Coturnix japonica: one gene and its partner. The protein of the gene in region 2 interacts with the protein of the main gene of each other region in a pairwise test. Links are inferred from orthologs where the notes say so. Each region holds a gene or a part of one and is shown on either strand. Other genes may lie near its edges.

Region 1 (4,521 bases), on a different chromosome or scaffold from region 2:
GTTACATCAGATACTCCGGGAGTCTTCAGTTGTATGTTGTTACATACACGGATGTTCTAGGTCCTGCTTTCATGTATACATCTAATACTTTATTATTATTAATTCTACTCAATTGGCTCATGGCAAAAGTTAGAAATCCTTTGTTTCAGCTCCAGTTCTGTCTTTCCTAAAAACAGCACATAACAATATTGTCAAGAGTTGGAATTATTTACTACCTCAAAGAAAATAAGAACGTCTAAACCTTTTGAAGTTTGTAAATAACCAGGGAAGGGAGTTAATTCAAGGTTCCATAGCACTACCTTCAGATGGAAGAGATGCAGCCTAGCAAACTGCAATGAATCACAGAATCACAGAACTGTAGGGGTTGGAAGGGACCTCTAGAGATCATCGAGTCTAACCCCCCTGCCAAAGCAGGCTCCCTACACCACGTCACACAGGTAGGCGTCCAGGCAGGTCTTGAGTATCTCCAGAGAAGGAGACTCCACCACCTCCCTGGGCAGCCTGTTGCGGTGCTCCGTCACCCTCACTGTAAAGAAGTTCTTCCGCACATTCGTGCAGAACTTCCTATGCTGTAGTTTCATCCCATTACCCCTAGTCCTGTCCCCATGCACTACTGAAAAGAGACCAGCCTCACCACTATGGCTCCCACACCTTAGGTATTTATAAACCTGGATCAAGTCCCCTCTCAGCCTTCTTTTCTCAAGGCTAAACTAATTCTAATTCTAAATGAAAATTACTGTTATTTGCAGGGACAATTATTTCTACACCTCTTCATTGTCATACATTCTAAAGACCAGCAGAAAGCTAAGAAAACTCTTGTCACGCACTCCAGAATGATAGCGAACAACTGAGAAAGGAAAACACTGCCAAAGAGAATCATATGGTACCTTCACCACAAGAAAAACACTGGCTGTGAGTTTTTAAGCTGGAGAAACGCTTTTGCGTTCATAGTAAAATAACATACTACATACTCTGAAAGAAGAAAAAGTTTCCCTTATTCCACGAGAGCCTTTAAAAGCAAGTTGTATCTGCAAGTTTATGAAGTCACTGCCTGAGGTAAATGTTGATAAAATTTAGCTTTTATTATACCTATTAAACCCTACATGCCTTATATTTCTACTCATCTATTTACCGTGGTCTTCTAAGCAACTAAAAACCACCACTCCTCATGAAAGAAGAAGGAAAGCTCATCTCTTCAGCACATTTCTAAACGCATGAATGACTTGCTACACATGAATGATTCCTACTTGGTTATCAAATTAGATTCAAGGGAAGTCAGTCTCCTCCATAACCAATAGAGGGAAGAAAAAAACAAAACAGATAAATTAAGGTAAAAAAAAAAAAAAATCAACCATCATTATTTTCTCGCTACTCATTACACTGTTTCTGATGTACGTCAATTACGAGGTTAGTGAGAAAGAACAACCTTTTGTAGACAATCTTCAGGTCTCTCCATTCCAGGAAGCTGCACATTTTCGGTTTGCGGGCTAATACTGTTTGAACAAGTTCCCTTGTGATTTTCTTCTTTTCTTTGTCAGATAGTGGGACATACCACTTCTGGAGTCTCAGTTTCCCCTGGCGACTAAAAAGCAACATAAACTGCATCTGTTGAATTAGAAGGGGAAAAAAAGGATTATTCTCAGTCTCTTAAGTTCTAAGAAGATTTCTACGAGGAAAACCAAGCGGGAAGCGAGATAGCCATCCAAAAGCCTATCTACATGATGTATTTCTACACCGGTGGCAGACGTTACACAAGATTCGGAAGCACCAATAACACAAAGGATTCAGCTGAACAAGGTCAGTGAGAGCAGAGATAGTAGGAAGCACGCACAACTTTCAGAACCGCCAGTCAGAGGCAGCAGGCAGCGACTACACCCGGGATTCTGGCAAACCACGTCCAGCATTGGTATGGTCGCGTTTGCATTTACTATAGAAAACGACAGAAAGCAGCACACCCATCTCCTCCAACACCCAACCTCGTTTCCAATTCACACGATTAAAGCCTTACAAGCACGAGCAATTTGCGCTTAAGACCTTTCCGAAAAGCCTTTAAAAATACTTTTAAGAGGCATTAAATCTCCCACCGGAGAGTCCTATGGCATCGAACAGCCTTGCCTTCTCTTGCACTGCACAAAAGGAGTAGAGATTAAGTGCTTTCCCTGCGGTCCTACGTTCCAGGTCTCGCTTCCTCTACAGGAGTGATGTTGCAATTATATCTTTAGAGGAACTTGTCAGCTGTGTTTTCCAGCGGCTGTAACATTAAAGGAAATGGCTTTTCTTTCTTTCTTTTTTTGCTTTTCCTCCCCTTTTCGCTCCAAGTTATGTCGGGCTTGAGGAAGTTTCCCAGGCGATACAGCAGACGTGAAATCCCACGGAGAAGCCCAGCCCGCTCCCTGCTGACAGTCCGAAGAGGGCAGGACGCGGCAGCCCGGATCCCCCACAGTGTCAGCCCGCAGCCTCCCTCCCTCCGGCCGCCGAACCACCCCCTCCCCCCCGCCCAGGGGACCCTCCCGGAGCCCCGAGCCGCTACCAGAGGGCACAGAGCCGCGGGCACACGGAGCAACGGGGCCGGGCCCGCCCCGTTCGGGGACAGCCGCCGCCCGTCCCAACGCGGCCGTGTGAGGGGGGGGGGATGAGCGGAAAGCAGGCGGCCGCTCTTCTCGTTGCGGAGAGCGGCGGGTCCCGGCAGCGCGGGGCAGGAGGGAGCTGAGAGAGGCGAGTCCGTCCCCGCGCCGCGGTGCTCGCGGTGCTCACCGTGCCCCGGAGGGGAGAGCGAGGAGGAAGAGGAGGAGGAGGCGGCGGCACCGCTCCCGAGCTTGATGCTGCCGCCACGGCCGCCGCGCGGGACTGAGGGGAGAGAAGGGAGACGCCGCCGGCTCGAGCCCGGCGCCAGCGCGCGCGCGCCTCAACGGCCGCCTCTTCCCCCCCCCCCCCAACACACACATACAGACATACACCGCCTCGCTCGGGCTGCCTGGGGCGGGGCCGGACTCGAGGACGCTGCTCCCGGGCGGGGGGCGGGACCAGCGGGGGGACGGACACAACTTCGTTCGCCGCCTTGAAGGAGGGGCCGGATCCGGGAGCGAGGCGCATGTGCGGGGTTGGAGGGCTGAGGGGCAACGGGAGCTCGATGCTGACCAATTGGAGAGCGCGGCGCGGCGGAGGGAGGGAGGAGTGAAGAGCCGCGCTGGCCAATGAGAAAGAGCGAAAAGCGCCGAGGAAGAGGCGGTGGGAGGGACGAAGCAGGGGGCGGGACTAAAGGGCTTAATCCTCAACAGCCGCCGCGGCAACAACCAATCAGAAGGCAGATAGCGGTTCTCACAGTCTCACAGTCTGGTGCAGGTTGGAAGGGACCTTGAGATCATCGAGTCCAACCCCCGGGATTCGAGCCTCTGTGTAGCAGAGCGGCACTTCTACCACTTGCGCCACAGGGGGGATTCGAACCCAGGGCCTCCGGTGTTGCAAGGCGGCGTCCTTAACCACTGCGCCACCGGGGCACACAAGCCGCCCGTGGTTCGGCGAGGCGCCTCCTTCCTTTCTCCCGGTGCCCGGGGTCAGCTACTGATGGTGCAGAGAATAGGTGGCGGTGCCGCGCATGCGTAGGGCTGTGTTTCCTTCTAGCACGTGCGGTGGGGCAGGGCGGGGCGGGGCGAGATGGGATCGGAGCCATTAAGGCGGAGGGGAGGGAGGGATGGTTAGTGCTGTGGGCGGAGTGCTGCTATTGCGGTTGTTCGTAGGCCTGATGGTGCTGTGTCAGAAAGTGCCTCTTCCCTAATGGTCACTGTGCTGTTCTTGAGTCGCTATATACTGAGCCAGATACATATGATGCTTAAACCGATAATATGTGCCCCGGTGGCGCAGTGGTAGCAATGCCGCTTGCAACACCGGGACCCGGGTTCGAATCCCCCTATGGCGCAAGTGGTAGAAGTGCCGCTCTGCTACACAGAGGCTCGAATCCCTGGGGTTGGACTCGATGATCTCTAAGGTCCCTTCCAACCCGCACCAGACTATGATACTGTGAATATAATAGCCTCCGTGTTGTCCACAAGCCCGTGGCAATGCAAATGTCATGCGTTCTAATTTTAGGCAGACGCTGCGTCTTCTTCTCATTAGCCTTTGCTTATTGTCATATGGCCTACCTTAACGAGGTGGGTTTTAAAGAATGAACTCAGGGTTTTGATTTCTAAGTCACGAGTGATAACACTGCATTATTAATGGGATGGATTCTTCTAACTGCTGTAGTTATAAAATCCTTTGTATTCTGTTTTAGACACAAGGCAGTTCTTCAGGGGATGTGTCCGCTGACCATAAAACATTTGGGGTCTCCAGCCAAGACTTTGCTCTCGAGATTATTTCCAGCACAACTGGCGGCACAGAAGAGAACTGCCTGGAGCTGGGAAGAGAGACAGGGGAGGAGAGATGAAGGAAGCTTACACAAAATAAGATTAGAACACTGTGGATTTCTCTGGAATATGGATTTTGTATCAGAACAAATAAGGTCAACATCCTGGCATTTGGCAC
Region 2 (3,774 bases):
ATTACACAACTTCTCGGTAACACGTAGCAGCTGCTGACATCCTTCACAAAGCCACATGATTCATACACGTTTACAAAACAAACAAACAAACAACAAAAAAACAACCACCACGTTATCATCCTCAAGTACTCCATGGCTGATTTTGCTTTGTTGAAGTACAAAACAGTACACTCTCCCAGGGCACTCAGCTATACCCAGAGTAAACTGAGTAAACTCAGCTTGGATTAACTTTAATAAACTGTTTTAATGCTTTCCTTGCAAGTCACTTCAAGGCTGCATTCACTCCCTCCTCAAAGGGCTATATATTGGAATGACAGAAAGCACGAGTTATCCTGACTTTGAAGTCACTGCAGTAGAAAAACTCTGCTACACAGTCTACTTGCGTATTAGCTGCCTTAAGTCATTATATAAGAACACTTCAGTTTTGCACTGATATACTTTACAGCTGCCCCCTAATCAGTGATAAATAACTACCTATAGAATTCAAGAATTTTTACAAAGTCACATATAAGAGAGGCAATTTTACTTACTGTTGTTAAGACTCTCATGATTGTGTCTATGTGCCAGCGTTTGGAAGGAGCGTATCTGACAAAAATAAGAATTAAAGAACTATGAGCCTTAATGCCAGCAAAAAACAAAACAAATTCAGCAGAACCTTCTCCCCATTTTATCACCTCCTGGCCCACCTTTTCCTAGAATAAAAAAAACTTAATTCTTTTACCTTTTGTTACTAACACTGACATTGAAACGTTGAATGAACATACAAGCACAGCCATAGCTCACACATACTTAAAAATCAGGCTATTGATTACAATGGCTCAACTTTAATCAGATCATCTCACTTGCACATGTAATCAGGGAGAACACGAGTGGGCACATGGAACAGGCGAGGGGTGAAAAGCCAAGATGTCAACACAAAATCTGTTCCAAAGAACAGCATAAATCAATAAACTAGACTGTCTTAATGATGTGAGGACTGCCTACAAGGGAACATTAGTGTGCCCTGATGCACTGGCATGTCCTGTCCTTCAGCAGGCATAAAACCAATGAACCCCCAAATCAACCCATTCTCCCTTAAGTGTTGAGTAGACAAGGCAAAAACGCTCACGATTTTGATAACTGGAAAAAAAAATTAATGGCAAATTCCATACTTTTCTGCTGCAAGGAATATTCCAGATGCACAGTCTGCCTTGAACTCTGGCTCACACGAATCTAGGAAATACAGCAACTCCTTCATCATTCCACGAACATTGTTCCCATTAACAAGAGCAAAACTCAGTTCCATTGCGCGCCTAGGGTAATGGACAGAAAACAAAGTATATTCTCTTGGTGAAGTAAAGTAAGTCCAGTTACTCACATGCACTTACCTTTTGGTTAAAAGAGCAATGTTATTATGGATGGCTCTTCCCAGAGGATTAAATGCAACAGCATTTTCTTGTTAGGACAAGAAACAGCCACCCCAGAAAACCATAAACTGGAGTACAGCTGCAGGAATCACCCAAGAGATCCTAAGGCTAAAAATATCTTTCAACAACCAAAGTCCATCTGTGTTAAGGTCCAAGTATTCATAGTTACACATTGGTCATGTCTGACACAACTGCAAGAAAGCTATACCAGCTACAAGATTTCTTCAGTTTCAGAAATCTTTAAATCCATTTTGTTCTCCAACCATTGGAGACTCAAACACATCAGAGTTGATAAGGTTGTCTTGGCAGATAAACTACATAAGGTTTCCAGAACTTGGGATTATTGAGGTGCTCTTTTCAGAAGTCATTCCTTCCCTGTCAAAAGTTGACATCACAACTGGACATAGCCCTGGCTATCTGACATTACTTTTTCTATATAAACAAAGATCAGAGGCCAGTCTTTGGCCCTTCTACTTGACACTTCAGTAGTTGATCGTAGCACAACTCTCCCATCTGTTCCACATTTCCTGAATGAAGACTACTGTCTTCAAATACATTTCTGGGAAACCATATCAATTTGCTATGCTAAGGTGCATTAAAGCAGCCTCACTAAACAACTCTGACTATTCTTTACAATTGAGTACTTGGTGTAACCCAGAACACAAACTCGTCAAGTATAGAAAGGATGGAACAGCTTTATCAGGAACATCATTCTCTGTCCATCACTGAGATAGGCTAATAAAATAAGATCCCTCAAGAGCATCAAAAACTTCCACCCATATATTGCTCACATTCAATCACATTACGGGCCTCAATTTTGTTAAAAAGTTCCTAATAATGCAATTTGATCATATTAAGCTGACAGATAAACTTAAACTAAATGGCAAAGCTACTCTGAAGTACACTACACAGACCAAAGTTGCATTGCAACGTTTAAGATGACAAGGACATGCCATGCTTCAAAAGTCAACCAAAACCAGTTATGTTTTTCCTCTCAAGTTCCAGACCTCAAAACTTGCTGTCTGGGGACTCCAAAATCCAGTCAATATATTGCTTCAATGAGAACAGTGCATTGTCAGCAGCACGAGTGTCAGCACAGCAACATCAAGCTCTGCCGATGGATCACTCAAAGGCTTCATCCTCCAACAGCACTCAGACATGAAGCTCTGTTGTTTGTAGCATGTTTTCCTTAACAGGCATCAACGAAATGCACTAAATTCAATCTATAATCATTAATTGAAGATTTTAACATTGCTTCAGGACAATATGACCCTACTTATTTGCTTGGAAAAGTAACACCAAGATGTCCAAATAGCTTTGATTAGGACTCTAATTTATGAAGGCTGACTCTTCTAAGCACACCAACTCATCTCTGGATGACTCACTGTGGAAACATTCAGGCAAACAGAAAAAATTATCCCCCCACCAATCCAAGAGGTGGAAAATGTAAAAGCAGCTTCTCAAAGAAAGCAGCTGCATGTTTTAATTATCTTTATAACCTTACATGAAGTAGAAATCAAATGATGCATTAATACTAGTCTCATTTTCAGCTCTCCAGTTCTCCTGTCATTTTCCCATATGTCCTGCTCACTCTTCAGAGACTGCCCCTTTCACTGATATCTAAGTTACCTTTTAATGGAGACATCCAGATCTTTCAGGCAGTCCACAATTGTGCTTCTATGTCTCTGTACTGCATTATGGTCTGTCTGCACAGTTTTCAACAGTGATGTCAAAGCCACATATCTGAGATAAGAATACATCATAAGAAAATAGTTAATGGTAAGCATTCGATTTCTACGTACAAATATACCTACCCACACTTCAAAACAATACTTCAAAGAACACTCTCCTGGAAAGTCCTACTTAGTATAATCTTTGTGTCATTGCTTCTTAGACATCTTAAGCTGAGCATAGATGGAGCACACTTCATACAACTTACCTAATATTTTTGTCATTGTTCAATAGGAAACGGCCTAGGATGTTAATAGCTAAGACCTGCAGAAAAAGTTACAAAAGATCAGTGACAAAGAAATCCCCCATCACTGCTTAAACATGACTTAAAAGGCAACATTACTACTGTGCTTCTTGGCCAAAAGCATAACAAAGAACTCTGGGGCCTGACTAAGCAAAGGGAAAACTAAGACAAACTTTGTATGGGCTCTCTCCTTTACTCAATGAGAAACAGTCCTCAGGAAGGTTTTGCTGAACCCCCTCCCCCACCTTTTCCCTTGTTTTCTTCTTCCTTTTTTTTTTTTCTTACCCCCCTTGTAACACTATAATGCAATGGAAAGTACAGCACTAATAACATAGTGGCAAAGCCTCTGGCTACAACAAATGAAGACAAGCCCAAATGCAACAGTCAGAAACA

The links. The genes of interacting proteins can lie anywhere in the genome.
Region 1: the proteins of AP1G1 (region 2) and AP1S2 interact in binary tests that used the Homo sapiens proteins (3 or more experiments, as listed by UniProt). The link is inferred for Coturnix japonica from reciprocal best matches to the Homo sapiens genes AP1G1 and AP1S2.

The regions. Positions count from the first base shown.
Region 1 is NC_029516.1:109,762,680-109,767,200, reverse strand, and holds the start of AP1S2 (AP-1 complex subunit sigma-2), read right to left. Parts: upstream 2,971-4,521; 5' UTR 2,954-2,970; coding exon 2,948-2,953; intron 2,934-2,947; exon of another isoform or gene 2,755-2,933; intron 2,457-2,754; exon of another isoform or gene 2,085-2,456; intron 1,606-2,084; coding exon 1,427-1,605; intron 1-1,426. UniProt on the Homo sapiens protein: Subunit of clathrin-associated adaptor protein complex 1 that plays a role in protein sorting in the late-Golgi/trans-Golgi network (TGN) and/or endosomes.
Region 2 is NC_029526.1:17,674,782-17,678,555, reverse strand, and holds part of AP1G1 (AP-1 complex subunit gamma-1), read right to left. Parts: intron 3,402-3,774; coding exon 3,346-3,401; intron 3,150-3,345; coding exon 3,036-3,149; intron 2,560-3,035; exon of another isoform or gene 2,473-2,559; intron 1,293-2,472; coding exon 1,152-1,292; intron 586-1,151; coding exon 531-585; intron 1-530. UniProt on the Homo sapiens protein: Subunit of clathrin-associated adaptor protein complex 1 that plays a role in protein sorting in the late-Golgi/trans-Golgi network (TGN) and/or endosomes.